Arabidopsis thaliana: one gene and its partners. The protein of the gene in region 1 purifies or fractionates together with the protein of each later gene. This does not show direct contact. Each region holds a gene or a part of one and is shown in the gene's direction. Other genes may lie near its edges. The genes, in order: VDAC3, PHB5, PHB3 and PHB4.

What was found.
Region 2: the proteins of VDAC3 (region 1) and PHB5 fractionate together in Arabidopsis thaliana (co-fractionation; one large-scale study listed by BioGRID). This does not show direct contact.
Region 3: the proteins of VDAC3 (region 1) and PHB3 fractionate together in Arabidopsis thaliana (co-fractionation; one large-scale study listed by BioGRID). This does not show direct contact.
Region 4: the proteins of VDAC3 (region 1) and PHB4 fractionate together in Arabidopsis thaliana (co-fractionation; one large-scale study listed by BioGRID). This does not show direct contact.

Annotation. Positions count from the first base shown.
Region 1 is NC_003076.8:4,888,185-4,893,591, reverse strand, and holds VDAC3 (voltage dependent anion channel 3), read left to right. Parts: upstream 1-1,988; 5' UTR 1,989-2,202; coding exon 2,203-2,251; intron 2,252-2,707; coding exon 2,708-2,775; intron 2,776-2,958; coding exon 2,959-3,069; intron 3,070-3,172; coding exon 3,173-3,259; intron 3,260-3,352; coding exon 3,353-3,561; intron 3,562-3,650; coding exon 3,651-3,951; 3' UTR 3,952-4,069; exon of another isoform or gene 4,070-4,299; intron 4,300-4,421; 3' UTR 4,422-4,628; downstream 4,629-5,407. Other genes in the region: PIN8 (Auxin efflux carrier family protein), read left to right, coding at 1-180, 256-445, 777-862, 949-1,106, 1,189-1,265, 1,367-1,433; AT5G15080 (Protein kinase superfamily protein), read right to left, coding at 5,037-5,407. UniProt on the Arabidopsis thaliana protein: Forms a channel through the mitochondrial outer membrane that allows diffusion of small hydrophilic molecules. The channel adopts an open conformation at low or zero membrane potential and a closed conformation at potentials above 30-40 mV.
Region 2 is NC_003076.8:4,611,323-4,614,808, forward strand, and holds PHB5 (prohibitin 5), read left to right. Parts: upstream 1-1,779; coding exon 1,780-2,067; intron 2,068-2,239; coding exon 2,240-2,701; downstream 2,702-3,486. Other genes in the region: AT5G14285 (DNA-binding storekeeper), read left to right, coding at 1-122; AT5G14290 (Mitochondrial ribosomal protein L37), read right to left, coding at 890-1,288.
Region 3 is NC_003076.8:16,313,995-16,319,226, reverse strand, and holds PHB3 (prohibitin 3), read left to right. Parts: upstream 1-1,935; 5' UTR 1,936-2,605; coding exon 2,606-2,917; intron 2,918-3,116; coding exon 3,117-3,638; 3' UTR 3,639-3,656; intron 3,657-3,738; 3' UTR 3,739-4,377; downstream 4,378-5,232. Other genes in the region: G6PD6 (glucose-6-phosphate dehydrogenase 6), read right to left, coding at 4,671-4,838, 5,000-5,045, 5,160-5,232. UniProt on the Arabidopsis thaliana protein: Prohibitin probably acts as a holdase/unfoldase for the stabilization of newly synthesized mitochondrial proteins. Necessary for mitochondrial and cell metabolism and biogenesis.
Region 4 is NC_003074.8:10,074,720-10,079,176, forward strand, and holds PHB4 (prohibitin 4), read left to right. Parts: upstream 1-2,089; 5' UTR 2,090-2,184; coding exon 2,185-2,496; intron 2,497-2,804; coding exon 2,805-3,332; 3' UTR 3,333-3,344; exon of another isoform or gene 3,345-3,544; 3' UTR 3,545-3,889; downstream 3,890-4,457. Other genes in the region: AT3G27270 (TRAM, LAG1 and CLN8 (TLC) lipid-sensing domain containing protein), read left to right, coding at 915-987. UniProt on the Arabidopsis thaliana protein: Prohibitin probably acts as a holdase/unfoldase for the stabilization of newly synthesized mitochondrial proteins.

The DNA of each region.
Region 1 (5,407 bases):
CAAATACTCTCATTCTTGGAATGCCAATCTTGAGTGCCATCTATGGAGATGAAGCTGCGAGCATCTTGGAGCAGATTGTTGTCTTGCAAAGCTTGATTTGGTACACCATCTTGCTCTTTTTGTTCGAGCTTAACGCCGCAAGGGCGTTACCATCTTCTGGAGCTTCCCTAGAACATACAGGTAACTAAAAATCATTCCGTTTTTTCGATAAAAAATGATTTACCCTAATTAAATCTTGGTTTCTTGTAAAACAAGGCAATGACCAGGAAGAGGCTAATATAGAGGACGAGCCAAAAGAAGAAGAGGACGAAGAAGAAGTAGCAATAGTGAGAACAAGATCTGTTGGAACTATGAAGATTCTATTGAAGGCTTGGAGAAAGCTTATAATCAATCCAAATACATACGCAACATTGATCGGAATCATTTGGGCTACTTTACATTTCAGGTGTGAAAACAAAACTCTCTTATATTTAACACTGCAATCATATCTTTTGTGATAAATCATCTTACACATCTAAAGATTCAATCTTTATCATCTTACATATTCAAACACTTCCTTTTCTCTTTTTCAAAAAGAAAAGCGATAATTTAGTAGTGAGTTTCCCCTATTTTAAGCTTTCTGTTTGATCATTTTTCGCATCTACAAATTCATTTTTTTTAATATTTTAAAATCGAAAAGTGATAGTCAAGTGATATTCCCAACTATTAAGATTAGCTTCTTTTTTTAATAGTTTGTATCAAATGTTACTCATGTTTTTATTTATTTTCTCCAATAGATTGGGATGGAATTTGCCTGAGATGATTGATAAATCAATACATTTATTATCTGATGGAGGCTTAGGAATGGCCATGTTCAGCTTAGGTAAGCTATATATCTATACAAAAAAAAAAAAAAAACTAAACTTTCATGATTGGAAATTAAATTTAATTTAACAAAAAATGAAACAGGTCTGTTCATGGCATCACAAAGTAGTATCATAGCATGTGGTACAAAAATGGCGATTATAACAATGCTGCTCAAGTTCGTATTAGGACCTGCTCTTATGATTGCTTCTGCGTATTGCATCAGATTAAAAAGTACTCTCTTCAAAGTAGCAATATTACAGGTGAAAATATTAAAATTAATAATCCGTTAATAATAAAATCTGTCATATATATGTTTTTGTCGATTGATTTATTGTGTTGTAGGCAGCATTGCCTCAAGGAGTAGTGCCATTTGTTTTTGCAAAAGAGTATAATCTTCACCCGGAGATCATTAGTACTGGGTAAATAAATATATTTCTTGATTTGATTTTTTTTTTTCCTTCTTCTTATTACAATTTTTTTGAAATTTATTTTTGTGGTTTTTATTGTTTTGCTTTTTCAGGGTGATATTTGGAATGCTAATTGCCTTACCAACAACTTTGGCATATTATTTTCTATTGGACCTATGAATATGACATGTTCAAAAAAAAAACATGTTTTATACGTAGGCTCTTAATTTTGGATTTTATATGGTATTTAATTTAGTCATAGTTTTTTAGATGTTGAAATTATAAAGCTAATAATGTCAACCATTCTCTTTAATTATTGTAAATCATTTTTCTCCTGATATTAAATTAGAAAAAAACATGTCAACTAGTAAAATCAAAATTTTGACTTATTCTTTTTAAAAAATAGGATAATAGATACTATATAGGAGTAAATATAAAAGAACACCATTTAAGAAAATTTAAATATCACATTAATAAGAACAATTCAGATGGTTAACTCTAAGAAAATAAATAGACATTGTCAAAGACTCAACAACAAAAAAAAAATTATATAAAAATAAATAAATTTTGGGGATGAAGAAAACTAGAGAGTACACGGCCTGCTTTGCTTGCCACGCAATGAAAAATGGAAAAAAGCCATAAAAAAATAAAATAAGAATACGAAAATCAAATAAAAAACATAAAAAAAATGCCTTGGAGAGAGGGGAATATATAATCAACGGTTGATAAAGAGGGACACCGACTCATGTCATATTAATCTAACGGCTGAGATATTTTTACTTGATAAGCAGGGAAATACAATATTATAATATAAATTAATTTAGGGTTACCCTTTCTTCTTCCCCTTATATACACAAACACCACACCTCATTTTCTCCAGAATCCTCCATTACTCTTCTTCTCGACTTCGGAATCTTTCAAAGCTTCTTCGATTTTTCCAGAGGCAATCATGGTTAAAGGTCCAGGACTCTACACTGAAATCGGCAAAAAGGCCAGAGGTACGATCTCTCTCTCTTTCTCTATGGTGACGCGAATGTGACTGTTGTTGACATTTCGTAAACATTTGAGCTCTTTTCTGATCTGGGTTTAGGTTGATATTCATTGAATCGGTTAGGGTTTCTCATTCCTGGTTTTATTCCGATTTCTATCGGTCACGCTTAGGTCGTTGAAATTTGAATAGATGCATAAAAAGTTAAATATTCGTGTTTTGTGAGCTGATTGATAATATCTGTGTTCGTTTCCGTCAGATTTATGCTATCCGTTTCGTTTATCTGTATAGATAGAATAACAAGACTGGTTCTCTGGGTTTCAATTTTTGGGTCACTCGTTGATTAGCTGGTTTTGAAATTTTTTATCTTGGATCTGGAAAATGTCTATCAAGGATACAGAGTAGTTGTCTCGTGTTGAACTTTTCTATTTGAGTTGAATCTGAAGGTTTTTGAATGCTATTGTAGATCTTCTGTACAGGGATTACCAAGGAGACCAGAAATTCAGTGTCACCACTTACTCTTCAACTGGTGTTGTAAGTTTTTATTATTGTTTTTATTTCTGTCAATTCTCTATTTTGTTGGTGCGATGGGTTTATTGTTAGTGATAAAATTGAGATTTGTCTAGTTTTCTGTTATGTCAAATTTGGTTGTACAGTTTGTTTTCATGTGTACTCTCACTTGACTCTTTCTTGTGTCGAATGGTGATAAATTTGTAGGCGATCACTACAACGGGAACAAACAAAGGAAGCTTGTTTTTGGGTGATGTTGCTACCCAAGTGAAGAACAACAACTTCACTGCTGATGTCAAAGTTTCCACTGATTCTTCTGTAAGTAGACTTTTTAGCTTTAGCTGTTTCTAGTAGATATATGATGTTGCCGATTGCTGCTGGAGTATTCAATTGATTTTTTTTTGTGTGTGAATAATTTCAGCTTTTGACCACTCTTACCTTTGATGAGCCTGCCCCTGGACTGAAAGTTATTGTTCAGGCTAAGTTGCCCGATCACAAATCTGGAAAGGTATATAACTCCACCAGCTTTCTTTTCTTTCTGTTCCGTTTTTTTAAAGGTTGGTATGTTGGAGATAACCATTATTTGTTGTTTTCTGAGCAGGCTGAGGTTCAGTATTTCCATGACTATGCTGGTATCTCTACCAGCGTTGGATTCACAGCTACCCCGATTGTCAACTTCTCCGGTGTGGTTGGAACCAATGGTTTGTCTCTTGGTACTGATGTGGCCTATAACACCGAATCTGGCAACTTCAAACATTTCAATGCTGGTTTCAACTTCACCAAGGATGATTTGACTGCTTCCCTCATTCTGTAAGTGCCTCCCTCCATATGAAATGATGACTTGAGATTTTAATGCTGCTGGTTTTAAAAGAGTTGTTTCTTAAACTGTTTTTTTTCAGGAATGACAAAGGTGAGAAATTGAATGCATCCTACTACCAGATTGTGAGCCCGTCGACTGTGGTTGGAGCTGAGATTAGCCACAACTTCACGACCAAAGAGAACGCCATCACTGTCGGAACTCAACACGCGCTTGACCCATTGACCACAGTGAAGGCAAGAGTGAACAATGCTGGTGTGGCTAACGCTCTGATCCAACATGAGTGGCGTCCAAAGTCGTTCTTCACCGTTTCTGGAGAGGTTGATTCTAAGGCGATCGATAAGAGTGCCAAGGTTGGGATTGCTCTCGCTCTCAAGCCCTGAGAAGATACCACCAAATGGGCCCTGAAGTGGGTAGAATAGGTGTTATTTCTTTTTCGTCTTCAAATCTTTGGACAAATCGCTGTCTGGTTTGCTAAACAATCTTTCATTTGTTTTTTTTGTTCGGTGTTGGGATTTGTAGAAAATAAAAGAGAAAAATACTATTGAAAGGATCGTCTTTGACGATAAAGAACCATTAAGATCGTTTTACTTGGCTCTCTCTCTTTTATTTTCCGCCTCTGCTACAATACTCTGTTCCATATCTTTTACTTGGTTCTCTCTTTTATTTTCTGCCTCTGCTATACTTTGTTCCATTTGGAGTTCCCTTAGTGGATTTTTCTATGAGGTTCTTCTTACATGTCTAATTAATTTTGTCTAGTTGGTCAGATTTTTATCTGAGGTTTAGCCAACAAGATAGGTACACCTTCAATAGCACCTGTACTGATTCTTACATAGAACCAAAAAGTCATCAGTTTTATTATTCTTCAAACCAAAGAACCAAAAGCAAGAGAAGTAGAACCTATTCCGATTAGAGCTTTGGACTGTATCGTGTTCATCAAAACCCCTTCTTTTCGAGCCAACACATCGATCATCTCGAAACCAACCTGAAAACAACACAAAGTTGTAGCATTGCCGAGATCAAATCCAGCAAATCAGTAAAAGAAAAAGATTGTGTCTTGTTCCATGATACTTGTTTCCTGGATTGCCCAACCCAACGATAAGCCAAGGAGTGTACTCTACTTTGAATCTATCATTCTGACCACCAGAAGTAGATGAACAAACACGATACCTCTGTTTCCGGGATACTGGCTTTTGCGTTTGAAAATGGTAGATACTTGGTGTTTTCAATTTATAAAGAGCATCAAAAATGTTTTCAATTTATAACTTTTCTATGCTTTCAGCAATGGAAGACAAAATCAGTTTTTTTTTTTTCCATTTGGATTTACCCTTCTCCATCGTACATTATTAATCAATTAAAGAGTTACCCTAACGTTGTTTAAAAATATCTCCTTGTTGCTTAAAAACGACGATAAAAGCTTGAGCCTTCTAGCTCTGTTCGTTTGTGGCCTATTTCCACCACGTAAGAGCTATGTAGTTGCTCCTTTAGGCTTTGGCGAAGGAATCTGATGTCGATAAGGCGAAGAACCATGAGGACTAGACAGTGTTCGAAACACGGGTTGGTGTTGCCCGTTTCTTGATCCAAATCCTTGGGATCGACCTGACCCATTTTTCAAACGTTCAGCTTGCATTGTCTGGAAGTAGTAAGAAGAGCTTGCCATGTCTTTCAGATGCGGAAGTGGTTTAAGTGCTTCCACAACATCACTCATCTTTGGCCTAATCTTGGGGTCACGGCTAAGACATTGTGCAGCAAGCTGAGTCACTTTTTGAGCACCTTTGATTGAAAAATGGCCCTCAAGCCTCGGATCAAGTAACCGGTAAAACCTTCTCTTGTCAAGAA
Region 2 (3,486 bases), 280 kb from region 1:
CTTGGGCAATTGTTGTTGGAATTGCTATTACTGTTAGTATACTTTGGATTTGGAATCTCTGGATAGAATTGTTTAGTGAAAGGAAAGCTAACAAAATCAGAGTAGACAAGAAAATTAGATAGTTTCTTCTTTCTTCTCTAGATCATTGTTTGATCTTCCTTTTCATGTACTATATATAATATATATACCATTATTATTCTCACCTTTTAGAATTCCTCTAAATGATGTATGTTTTGGAATAATAGATTTGCTTTTGGGTAAGCAGTATGTGCAAAATGCACTTTTAATTCAACTCTGTATTGTTCAGAAGTTCTTCTCTTAAGAGTTTCTTCCATACACATATGTCTTGTCTCTCTGCTACACTTGGTTGCTCACATCTTGATTCTTGATATTGATGAGAAACGTTTTCTTTATGAAGTGTGCCATTCTTGGTGAGTTATATTTGGCTTTATAACTCTCTTTGTTTACGGCCAACACCAAGTCCCCTGAAACCAGCAACTGGTAAGCCATATATTCTTTTACTTGGAAGAATCAAAAGTTAGCTGGGGAAGTGTAAGAAATTACGAAACACAGAGATTCATATCTTCGATCATTGGATTGTGAACTTTTCATGTGTTGAAGAGGATAGGAAGAGAATTGGGGACTAAACATACCATCCAAGCTGAGACATGGTGTTAGGCAGTCTGTTGTGGAAAGCTGAATGATATACCATTTGGCCAATGAATAGCATAAAATACACAAATTTAACCAATTTACTGAGAAGAGCATGGAATTAGAGAAAAATCTTTTAAGATCAAATAATCCCAAAGATAATAAGGAAAATGAAGGGATTGCTCAAACAAGGGGAATTATAAGGGACACATACAACAAGTCATTGTTGAATCTCATTTCAGTTCTTGGCCTTGATAGAATGGTTCTCCTTGATTCTAGCTCTGGTATCCAGCTTCACAAAACGTTTAAGATCATCAAAACTAAGAGTCTCAACGTTCTTCCTTCTAAGTTCGCTAAGCGCCGGTCGCTTATCAAGCAGATGCCATAAATAATCAGGGTGATCTGAATTAGGCAAGATCTTAGGGTCCAATCCATCTTTCAGAGTATTAGCACTAACAACCATACTCGATTTGATCTCTTTGCTCAAGTTCGATGCTTTTGGTGCATCATTACCTCCATCTCCCCTCCCAACCTTCTTCGCTTTACCAGCAGCTGTAGCAAATGTTCTTTGGCACACAAATCGCATTACATCTTTGGATCTAGAAATGGAATCCCCAAACATTCGAATAAGGTTCATATCAACAACCTTATACCTGCAAATTCACAAAATAAAACTAAATAAATCTACACAATCCTATAATGTTCGTTCTCGGATTTAGATCAAGATTCGAGTTTTGTCGAAGATTTTTGGGTGAGGGTTTAACTCGCAAGATAGAGATAGGTAGCGAGTGCATCGCGGGAACTGGTAAAACTTATTAAAAAGTAACGGACCGGAAAATTAAAAGACCCGTCTAAAAGCCCACCAATAGTAATGCATACAAGTAACACGTGGCAGGTATGGTTGACCGAGTGAGTAACAGAACGTGAGAAAACCGACCCGCTAAATAAGAACCCGCCCAATATAATAAGCTTTCTCCTTAACTTCTGCCTCACGCAAAAAAAAAAACTTCCTATAAAACCTCATCTCCTGCGTTCTCTAACTACTTCTCACCTATCTGACAAGAAAAGAAACCCTAAACAACATAAAAAGAAACCTAAAATCCATACAGGAGACATTCAAAGCCAATCATGCCTTGGTCAAAGTTCACAAAGGTAGCTCTAGGTCTAGGAGCTGCCATAGCGGCTGTGAGATCAACAATGTTCACCGTTGATGGTGGCCAGAGAGCTGTTATGTTCCACCGATTCGAAGGGATTCTAGAAGAACCAGTAGGAGAAGGGACACATCGTAAGATTCCGTGGGTGCAAAAGCCGTATATCTTCGACATTCGGACCAAACCCTACAAAATCAATACCGACTCTGGAACTAAGGATCTTCAGATGGTCAACCTCACACTTCGTGTTATGTTTCGCCCTGATGTAAGTTCCCGCGAATATCCAAAAAATTTCACTAATAAGATTTTGTGATATATATGTAAAATAATATATAACTGTTTTCCGTGGGTTCGTGTTAGGTTTCGCGCCTCTCGTATATATACCAAAACTTAGGTCTCGACTATGGTGAAAAGGTCCTACCAGCGATCGGGACGAGGTGGTTAAAGCGGTGGTGGCTCAGTTCAACGCTGACGAGCTCTTAACAGAACGTCCACAGGTCTCAGCTCTTATACGCGAAACGTTGATCAAGCGAGCTAAGGAGTTCAACATTGTTCTCGATGACGTGTCGATCACTGGTCTCTCATACGGTAAAGAGTTCTCACTTGCGGTGGAGCGGAAGCAGGTGGCACAGCAAGAAGCTGAGCGGTCCAAGTTCGTAGTGGCAAAGGCTGATCAGGAGAGACGAGCGGCTGTGATTAGAGCAGAAGGAGAGAGCGAGGCGGCTCGGGTTATATCGAAAGCGACTGCAGGGGCTGGGATGGGGTTGATCAAGCTCAGAAGGGTCGAGGCGGCTAGAGAGGTTGCGATTACGCTCTCTAATTCTCCCAATGTCGTCTATTTGCCAAGTGGTGGGAATATGTTGTTTGCAATGAACGGTCCAAGCAAAGTTGTTGCTTGAATTAGTTGCAAAAATATGGTGTTCAATGGTTATATTGATTTGTGTGTTTTAAGATTTTCATTTTTTTATATAGTTTCCTAGTATTGGATCACCCTAGTATACTCCAGTTGAGACTGTTCTTGCGAGTCTGAGACTCGCACACATGACACATGACACATCTACTGTTAAGTCGACATTGACATCAAATTAAACAATCACTGTGCCAATCAAACTTATGCATAGACCTAGAGATAATTAAGTAGTCCAAGTTCAAAGGTTGATCTAACCTGGATCAGTGCCCTTGGTAGCTATGGCACATACTTCCTCACTAGGGAAAATGGGAGCTGATTATCCAGCAGCTTTCGATTAGATATCAACAAACAAAATGCAAATTAGGTTATCTTAGAAAGAAAAAAAAACAAGCTATTCATCGGATCACAAGTCACAAGTGTCACCTCGAAAGAAACTTGGGCCCATCTATATTATCTTATGGGCCTTATCGACCGATTCAAATATTGCAAATTAGTGTCGTTAACCTTTTTTGAAAACATACGGCCATTAGTGACAATTTAATTAATATTCTACAAATTCGAGCAGTGTCTTCTACATTTCTTTGTAAAGTCTTTGGTTTTTAATTTTAAGGTCAAGTTCACCATGAGCGACCAAAGTTTTGAATTTTTCAAGGTTTTTATTTTCATTTTATCGTTGTATGGAGAAAGTTTCTTATATCTTCATTTGAACATTGAATAGAATTATTAAACATTATAATTCAAGGTAGGATGGTCAAACAATTATTCTAGATTTCC
Region 3 (5,232 bases), about 11 Mb from region 1:
AACTCGAGTGTTCCGTCTGTATCTCCGCATCGAATGAGAGATACATGCTTATGTAATATAGTTCAGCGCGGGCATGTTTGTATCTGCATTTAGTGATTGTGCAAACAAAAATCAAATGATCAAAGTAGTTAATGCCTCCAGTGAAGCATCTCGGAAGCTGTACACGAGAGGAAGTTTTCTTCAAAGAAATAATCAGTTGACTCGGTTTAATTGTTACGTGTCACCTAGTGTTGTAGGTTAAGGATGAAATTTATCTCCACCAGATTGCAAATTTATTTTTATTTACTCGTCAATCTATTTCATCTTCGTTGTATATGGTCAACGAAACTATTAGATTACAATCAATTGATTTTATAATTATTACTAAGGTATGAATAATTTCAACACCACCAATTAGCTATAGTTTCGATCTGCACTTTGACACTAAATTATAATTTTTATAATTTAGTGTATCAACGTGACATCATGTATGTGATAATTAGCTTACATTATCTTATACTAGTTTGTAAACAAATACTGGCCATTGGTGGAGGAAAATTATGTGCACTAAACAACAAATGAGCATCCATTATAGCTTAGACTAAAGAATATTTGCATTATATGTAATGAGTCTCATATTTAAGTAAATGGCAATTCTAAAATTTTTTCACTAGCTAGATAAAAACACATCAATACTTTTTATTGATCTACCATTGGTGGTCAGATGATAATTCGATTCAATGTTTAGCCTAAACATATTCTTTCTGACCGATTAAAAACCAAGTGAACGTTTTGTTTTGGTCGATCTATCCCAAGATTAGTTGGACTTTGTTCCAAATTTCTTGATGAGCAAACACAAAAGTGTAAATTGTTTCTTATTATTGTTGTCATGTACCATATATATATATTTGACAAAATAACCTAGTATAGTAGTAGTAGTATATATATAATTATATATATATATATTAATATTAGTTTCAGTTTGTTTATTTTACAATTATACACTTCTCACTCTAATTGGTTATCAAAGATTCATGTTTCCTTCACTTGGGTTGTTTCTTTTACCTGTTTCGATAATATTGATGACTACATATATATCCGGTTGGAGTCAAAATGTTGAAAGAATCGAATTTAGCTCAATCTTTGAAGTTGGCGTTTAGTTTTTGAAATTAAAGATTTCTCTGCAATATTTTAATTGAAAATCAATATTGAAGGACTTTTCTGTAATATAAATCTATTTTAAAGGTTATTTTCAAACCTGTATAAGATTCGACACCGAAACATTTGACATTTTCGATAACGTGGTGAGGTCACTGTGTGACCTTCCAAGTAAAACTCCATAATTTTCTTAGTATTCGAGACGACTTAATTGAGTCATATTAATTAAGTGATACATAATATCTCTATATTTTTTTGGTCGAAGATACATAACAATTTTACGGATAAAATATTTGGAGATTTACATGCTTTCAGATTCAGTTTTAATACTCGTGTACATCTGTCTTCAAATCCCACTTAACCGAATAGAAAAGTATTCGCGTATACTGTTTGTTGGTCAAAAAATAGTCACAAAAAGTTTTCAAAAATAGATATCATTGTTTCACAACTTTTCTTTTAAGGAAAAAAAAACACTTTTTATACTGGAAAAACTCAACAACAACGTCCCCTGCCGTTATATTTGAAAAGGATTAATCATGCTCACATGTAAATATTTTTCTTATACGAAAAAGTAGTTATCCTTATTCAACTTCGTGTTTGTCAAGTAGCTCGAAGAATATTTTTGTTCACTACCGTTGGCTTGTACTAATCTAATACTTTTATAGTAGGCCCTTAACACCATACAAATGTCCAAGTAGGTATATTCTTCAATTTTTATTTGATTAAACAAATTGAGATAAACTATTGGCGTTGACCGATCTTGGTTTTCATTGCCTCGATTTTGCTGTTTTATATTTGGTTTCTTCTTGCTGGTTGGGATGCTGTTTTTGAACTGTGAGGTAGTCTTCATTTGTTATAAGAAGAGCTGCTATCTTGATGCTGTGGATTAGAATTTCCCCGTCGTTTAGCCATTTCTGCAAGCTTTTCTTTATCTTGGATTGATGGTGGGCAATGTCTCATGTGCTAGATTCTGGTTATAGTTTTTGATTTTCCATGGTTCAGTTTCTATTTTCTTATGCATTTAAAGTAATGTTTGTTAGCTTCCCATACTTTTGGGCTTTAGTCTCCGAGGATTTTTGTTATCCGTCGACTTAGTTTTTGAGATTATCTTGTTAATCGTCAGCTTTAACTTTGTAAACTCTATCTATAATCTATCTTTCAGTAAAAAAAAAATAAAAAAAATTGAGAGAAACATAATTTATGAGACAAAAAGATATTAAACATACTCTGTAACCGTTAAGCTGTTTTCAGCCCAATGTCATGAAACCCATTATTGAATTTAGTTCTTAATAGGCTTATATAGTCACATAATAATATTGGGCTAAGTTACTTGGCCCATTAAATCATTTCCCGTGGTAGGTTCCAGAAACATATCATAAACCCTAGCAGAAACTCTTTCCTCTCTCGTCGTCTCAAATCTCTTCTTCCTTCTTCTTCTCTCTCGATTCAAGATAATCCACACGCAAAAATGGGAAGCCAACAAGCGGCTGTTTCGTTCCTTTCCAATTTGGCGAAGGCTGCTTTCGGTCTTGGAACGGCGGCGACGGTGCTGAATACATCGCTTTTCACCGTTGACGGCGGAGAAAGAGCTGTTATCTTCGATCGATTCAGGGGAGTGATGGATCAGACTGTGGGTGAAGGGACTCATTTCTTGATCCCGATTCTTCAGAGGCCTCACATCTTCGATATCCGCACGAAGCCTCACACGTTCTCTTCAATCTCTGGTACTAAGGATCTCCAGATGGTTAATCTCACTCTTCGTGTTCTCTCTCGTCCTGAGGTATAACGCATAACGGTTCTTCATTTTTGATCTAGACTCGTTTGATTTCTCTGAATTGAGGTTTTTCAGATTCATTTGCGAATTGGATTTAGGGTTTAGGGTTTTGATGATCTATGATTTTCAAAATTTGTTTCGAGGACTAGGTATTGTAGAATCGTTATTAATTTGGTGTGTTTATGTGATGTGAATTGTTGTGAAGGTGTCGCGTCTCCCGTACATCTTCCAAACTTTGGGTCTAGAGTATGACGAGAAGGTTCTTCCTTCGATTGGAAATGAGGTTTTGAAAGCTGTGGTTGCACAGTTCAACGCTGACCAGCTTCTCACTGAGCGTCCTCACGTCTCAGCACTTGTTCGGGAGTCACTAATCACCCGTGCGAAGGACTTCAACATTGTGCTTGATGATGTAGCTATCACGCATTTGTCCTATGGTGTGGAGTTTTCAAGGGCTGTTGAGCAGAAACAAGTGGCTCAGCAAGAGGCAGAGAGGTCTAAGTTTGTTGTGATGAAGGCTGATCAAGAGAGGAGAGCTGCGGTTATAAGAGCTGAAGGTGAAAGTGAAGCTGCTCAGTTGATTTCTGATGCTACGGCTAAAGCTGGTATGGGACTTATCGAGCTTAGGAGGATTGAAGCTTCAAGGGAGATTGCGTCTACACTTGCTAGGTCTCCTAATGTGGCCTACTTACCCGGTGGCCAGAGCATGCTCTTTGCCCTGAACCGTTGATCTTGATCAGATATGATGGTATGTAAAAGCTTCATCTGAATCCATAGAATTAAGTCGTTTTGTGATTTGTCTGAAGGCTTTGTATTATGGTTATGTGCAGGTTGTTTGGGAGCATTTTGCGATATTTTAATGATCAAGTTGTGAATCTGATTGAATCAAAAAGGTGAAATGCTCTTTTGTTTTGATGAACTCTGAAGAAGAAAAAGAAACTAGTTGTTTGAGTTGTCATTATTGTGTTCTGAATCTCGGCAAAATTTACTCTACCTGAAGAATCTTTGTTTTCAGCATCATGTTTATCTAATTCTCAACAAATAAATGATTTTGGCTGAACTGTAAGTAATTTGTTTGTTACACATGCGTGAGAAAAGAAAATACAGATGGTACCTAGGAGTGTTGTTCTATGCGGATAAACTATGGTCACATCTGGATTATCTAGATGGTACCTATTTTGCATAAACTGTCGATAGTCTACGTCAAATTTCGATCTGTATGGACATTCAATTGTTTTTGCATAAACAGAGCAAGTTCAGAAACAAAGCAAATAAAGAAGAGAAATCATGAAAGATAGCCTTTTCTATCGAGATCCATTTTATCCATCGGTTTTAGTTTTTTTTTTTTTGGTCATCTAATGATAATGATGACTATGTAAAGACGGCGTCGGTTCCTAGACTCAACTTATGTGTCTGTGTCAACAAACTCTAGATGGAACTTAATGTGTGTTTCAACCACCTCTAGATTGAACTTATGTGTGTATATCAACAAACTCTACATTTTTTGGCAATTTTTTCTATCTCATCGTCAATTTCATTCATTTAACGAGCACAACAAAAGCTAAATTCATTTATGGTATTGGTAAGATTTTTATTTTTATTTCTACAAAGCCGCAAATACAAGACCAAAGGAAGTGTCAAAGTGAACAGCTGAAGTAGCAAGTTTCACGTACAAACACCAAACTCGAGGAGGGACTATTCAGCATAATTTATACATATACATGTAGATACATGTATTGTGTATTTATATATATGTAGGGTTTTATAGTGTAGGAGGGATCCAGATATAGCCGTGAGTCTGAAGATAACCAGCTTTCTCTAGTAGCTGATCAGCTTCTTTCGGTCCTCGGCTTCCTGGTTTGTATGGGATTGACTTTACTTCTCCTTTGTCGATCCTGTGGAGTAGCGGCGTGAAGATCTCCCACGCAACCTGTAATAATCATCAAAATGGATACAAATGTTAGCTCCTGAATTGTATGATGCAAAAGTTTGTGTCTGGATTGTGTCTATAGTTAGAGCATTTGTAATGTAACAAAAAAACGATCTCAGAGACTGCTTTGGTTTAAGGGTGGCGTTAGAAAATGTTTCTACCTTTAATTCGTCTCTACGAACGAAATGTTGTTGATCGCCTTTGATTCTGCAGAGAGATGGAAAGAAAATATGTTGAAGATAACATGAAGGAACAGAAGGCATCAATTAGATATATAAAGCCTATTGGGGTAGTATATAATTTAGAAAATTTATTTCTTACGTGTCAAGAATTAAGCGCTCGTATGCCTCAGGGATAGCGACACCTTGATACCGTTGCCCATACGACAAGTCTA
Region 4 (4,457 bases), on another chromosome or scaffold:
TCATTGCCTCGGACAATAATAAATTCCACAAAAGTACGAGTGACTAGTGTCCACGAGACTAGTGGTTGAAAATTAGGACTTGAATTCATTCCCTCTAGAAGTTTATACAAATTTCAGACCAACTTTTTAATTAACACTTTTTTTCATTTATTTTTTCTTGAGCAAAATAAGAGAGGAAGTAAGATAGATTAAAATTTAAACAACCACAAGATAAACATGCTTTAAGATTCTAGTTAAGAGATGGATAATTGAACGAATCCAAACCAATTGGAGGGGAATGGTCTGTTAGATTTCACATGTTAGAGGTTCCTCCATGAAGTCTAGAGTTAGACTCTTTCGAAATCTCACAAAATGTAGCTTGAAGGATGAGTTTGACATCAACAATCTGTTGGTCCAATAGTAAATCTCCCAGATGGAGGTGTTGAGTTCAAAGCATGTTGGGAGGGATTTTTTCTCCTAAAAAGATGAATTTAACTTGGTGTAGGTCTCGCCAGGCTGACCTCGCCCATATTTACAAATTACAATATCATCAAAACCCGAAGGAGTAAACAAAGAGTGGTGATTAAAGAATGAAGTGTCATTTTAAATAGCTCCCACTTGTTTTTCTCTCGATCTCAATCTGACAGAAACTGATATATTCCACTGATCTTCATCGATTCATCAAAGTTTTAGATTTTAATTCAGATTTCATCTTAAGGGAGGGTATTACGAGTATAGGAATGTGATTATCATATTAATGAAAGTTGAGGTTTTAAAAATAGCTTAACCAAACAAATGTAATCTTGCCAAAAAGATATAAAATGAGTCCATCAACAAAATTTATCGGAGTTACAAGATCATCAGATTCCGAAAAGCTTTTCTGTTTATGCGAGCGGTAATAGTGTTTTTTGATGTCTCCGTCGATTTCTTTGAAGGTGGCCAAAGGCGAAACGGAGACACTATTGTGCAACAAGTTGTTCATTTGTTTCCAAACATGGTAAGCTGTAGCATGAGCAACTCCTACTAATTTCCAAAGAATTGTGGGAGCAGTCTCTGTTTTTAGCTTAGTCCAAGCCAGAATTGAAATCCAAGTAATAAAGATATAAGGCGATATCGTTAATCCTCTTCTGGTGTTTTCTGTATGTAAAACGGCGTCTTTCTTTTGATTCGAAACGGAGGAGTTTGTGAAGGGTAACAAGACGGAATGGTTCTTTATATCTGGGAGGACCAAGATGGGGAAATGTGGAAAAAGAATGAATCGTAGAGACAATGGAGGATACTGGAGGGTAGTATCATCTCTGCCAAGAAGATTCATGCTGGAGAAGCAGGCCTTGTCGGCTACAAATACTCACTAGAGTACTACATTGGAAAACAACCAAAATGGCGTAAAAGAGGGTTGGTTGATGCATGAACACTGGCTTAAGTCTTCTGATGATATTAATAACTACGAGCTGGTAAGAGTATATATGTACGTTTACTTACTTGGTTTCCAAGTTATTGAGACTCTTGAGTTTTGGTTTTTATTGTGACGACTTCTGTTGTTTTGTTTGAGTAGGGCAATTATGCTATGTGCAAGATCTATCTGAGTCCACACGCAGCAAAGAAGAAGAAAACACACGATGAAGAGATCGACGATTTAGTTCAATTTGTGGAAGCAGCCTTAGATGTTTCTTTTTATCTACTTTTGCTGTCCAAAGTCAGAGGTCTCATTGTCTTTATATAGAATTTCTTGTATATAACATTTTCCACTGGTTGTATAGAAAAATCAATTTTAGTCTTTTGTGCTTATTCACTCTAATCAAAATCTCTAATCAAGGTGAAGGAGGAGGTGGAGGAAGAACATTTTCATCTTGCTCTCTAAGAAGATCCAAAATCTCTGCAGGGTTGTTATCAACACGCTCTTCGTCTCTGTCTTCCTCTCCGGATTTAGTTTCGTTTATGGGCAAATAATCAAATTCGGGTTTAATCTTCCAAACCGTTGTTTCCTTTTATATTACATCATTTCCTTTTCCTTTTTTATTATTGGGCCGAAGTAGTTTATATTATTAATGGGCTTTAAACAAGCCCATATTCAATAATTGTCGGCCAAAAAAAACCCTCTCTTCCAAGTTCCAAAATCATTTCATAAACCCTAACAAACCCCTAAATCTTTCCTTTCTCAATTCTCTCCTTCGAAGCTTTTTTCTTGTGAGGTCAGAAAAGAAAATGGGAAGTCAACAAGTAGCGATTTCGTTTCTGACGAACTTGGCGAAGGCGGCGTTTGGGTTAGGTGTGGCGGCGACGGCACTAAACTCGTCGCTCTACACTGTTGATGGTGGCGAGAGAGCTGTTTTGTTCGATCGATTCAGGGGAGTGTTGGATCAGACCGTCGGCGAAGGGACTCATTTCTTGATCCCGTATCTCCAGACGCCGCACATATACGATATTCGTACGAAACCTCACACTTTCTCCTCCAAATCTGGTACTAAGGATCTTCAGATGGTTAATCTCACCCTTCGTGTTCTCTTTCGCCCTGAGGTAATTTCGATTTTAGCAACAATCAATTTCTCGATTCTGTGTTTGATTTTGTATACATTGGTTGTTTACAAGATCGAGGGTTTAGGATGATCGTGTTCGTTCGATTTAGCAATCATTTATCGATTCTGTGTTTGATTTCGTGGAATTTGAAGTTTGTGTACAAGATCTAGAGTTGAAGATAATCCTTATGTGTAATTTGGTTTCTTCGATGAATGTTACTCTTATTATAGAAGCTTTTGGTGCATATCTATGCTGGCTTCGATTGTTTGAGGGATTGAATAAGTTGTTGTGGTTATTTTACTGTGAAGGTTTCGCGTCTCCCGTACATTTTCCAAACATTGGGTCTTGAATACGATGAGAAGGTTCTTCCATCGATTGGAAATGAGGTCTTGAAAGCTGTGGTTGCTAATTTCAATGCTGATCAGCTCCTCACTGAGCGTCCTCAAGTATCAGCACTTGTTCGTGATGCTCTTATCAAGCGTGCCAGGGAATTTAACATTGAGCTCGACGACATAGCCATTACTCACTTATCGTACGGTGCTGAGTTCTCGAGGGCAGTGGAGGCGAAGCAAGTGGCTCAGCAGGAAGCTGAAAGGTCAAAGTTTGTGGTGATGAAGGCTGATCAAGAGAGGAGAGCTGCGGTTATAAGAGCAGAAGGTGAGAGTGAAGCTGCTCAGTTGATATCAGATGCAACAGCTAAAGCAGGAATGGGACTAATTGAGCTTAGGAGGATTGAAGCTTCAAGGGAGGTTGCGGCTACTCTGGCTAGGTCTCCGAACGTGGCTTACTTACCTGGTGGACAAAGCATGCTCTTTAATCTGAACCCTGGTCGTTGAGCTATAACATTGGTATGCTCTTTTACTTCTTTGAATAATGAATGAAAAATGGATTTGGACTTAAGATTCCCATTTAAAGGCATTAAGGTTATTCGGTTTGGTTGAACTAAGAGTGGTTATGGTTTGGTATAAACTGTTTGGTTTGATAGTAGAGTATGGTTTAGGTTTGTGGAATGGTGTGGTTTACTTGTTTGGCCTTGTTGTATTTGCAGGTGGGAAGAGGAGCTTCAGTGGAGACAAAACGACGGAGCTGTGAAGTTTATTAACGTTGATGCTCTTTTATTTCTGATGAACACGATGTGAAAAAAGATAATTGTTTTGAGCCGTTCTATCTTTTCTGACTCTAGAAGTAAAGACTATGCCATTGTTGTCGAAACCCGATCATTCCAATGAAAGGCTTCACCAAAAAATCTACCATAACAATAGTCGAAATTTGTATTGTCAAAAACAATTTCCAACACCAAGGTTGTTGTACTTGTATTATTTAAAATATAAATTAAAACATGGTAAATAAATTAAATAAAACTTTTTTATGTGGTCACTTTGGTGGCTTCGGTACATGCGGTGGCCTCTTGTGGTGGGGTAGACAAACTCTAAGTATAGTGCATTCACAAACTTTAACTTTTCCCTTCAAATTACAATTTGCTCCACCATAACCTTCGTTGTTACAACTCGTTCGGCACCTCCTAGCACCGTCTACCTTATTACACGTCTCTGGCGGTGCTTTGCTTGGATAATCATCACACAATTCCCAATTCATTGCTTTTCCTAATACAATAATTCGATCAATTACAAGTATTTATATCGTATTGATTATATATGCATATTTTTGTTTTTTTTCAATGAAAATATATTTGGTAGAAGATTTAATATTATTTACGATTTTATCTCCTTGTAGTGATTTATTTTACAGCTAAATTACAATTTTGACAAATTTCCTTAATTTTTTTTTTAAATGAGTATAAGAAGTTCCATTTTTTCAATATTTGTATATCTTGTAATTTATAAACCAAAAGTTTAACCGCAAATAACACCTTTTTTTTTTGTTGCATTAAGCATCTATCATTATAAATCAAACTTTTAGACATTTTGTTTTTCCTTTTATAAGTTTTTATTTTTCTTTGT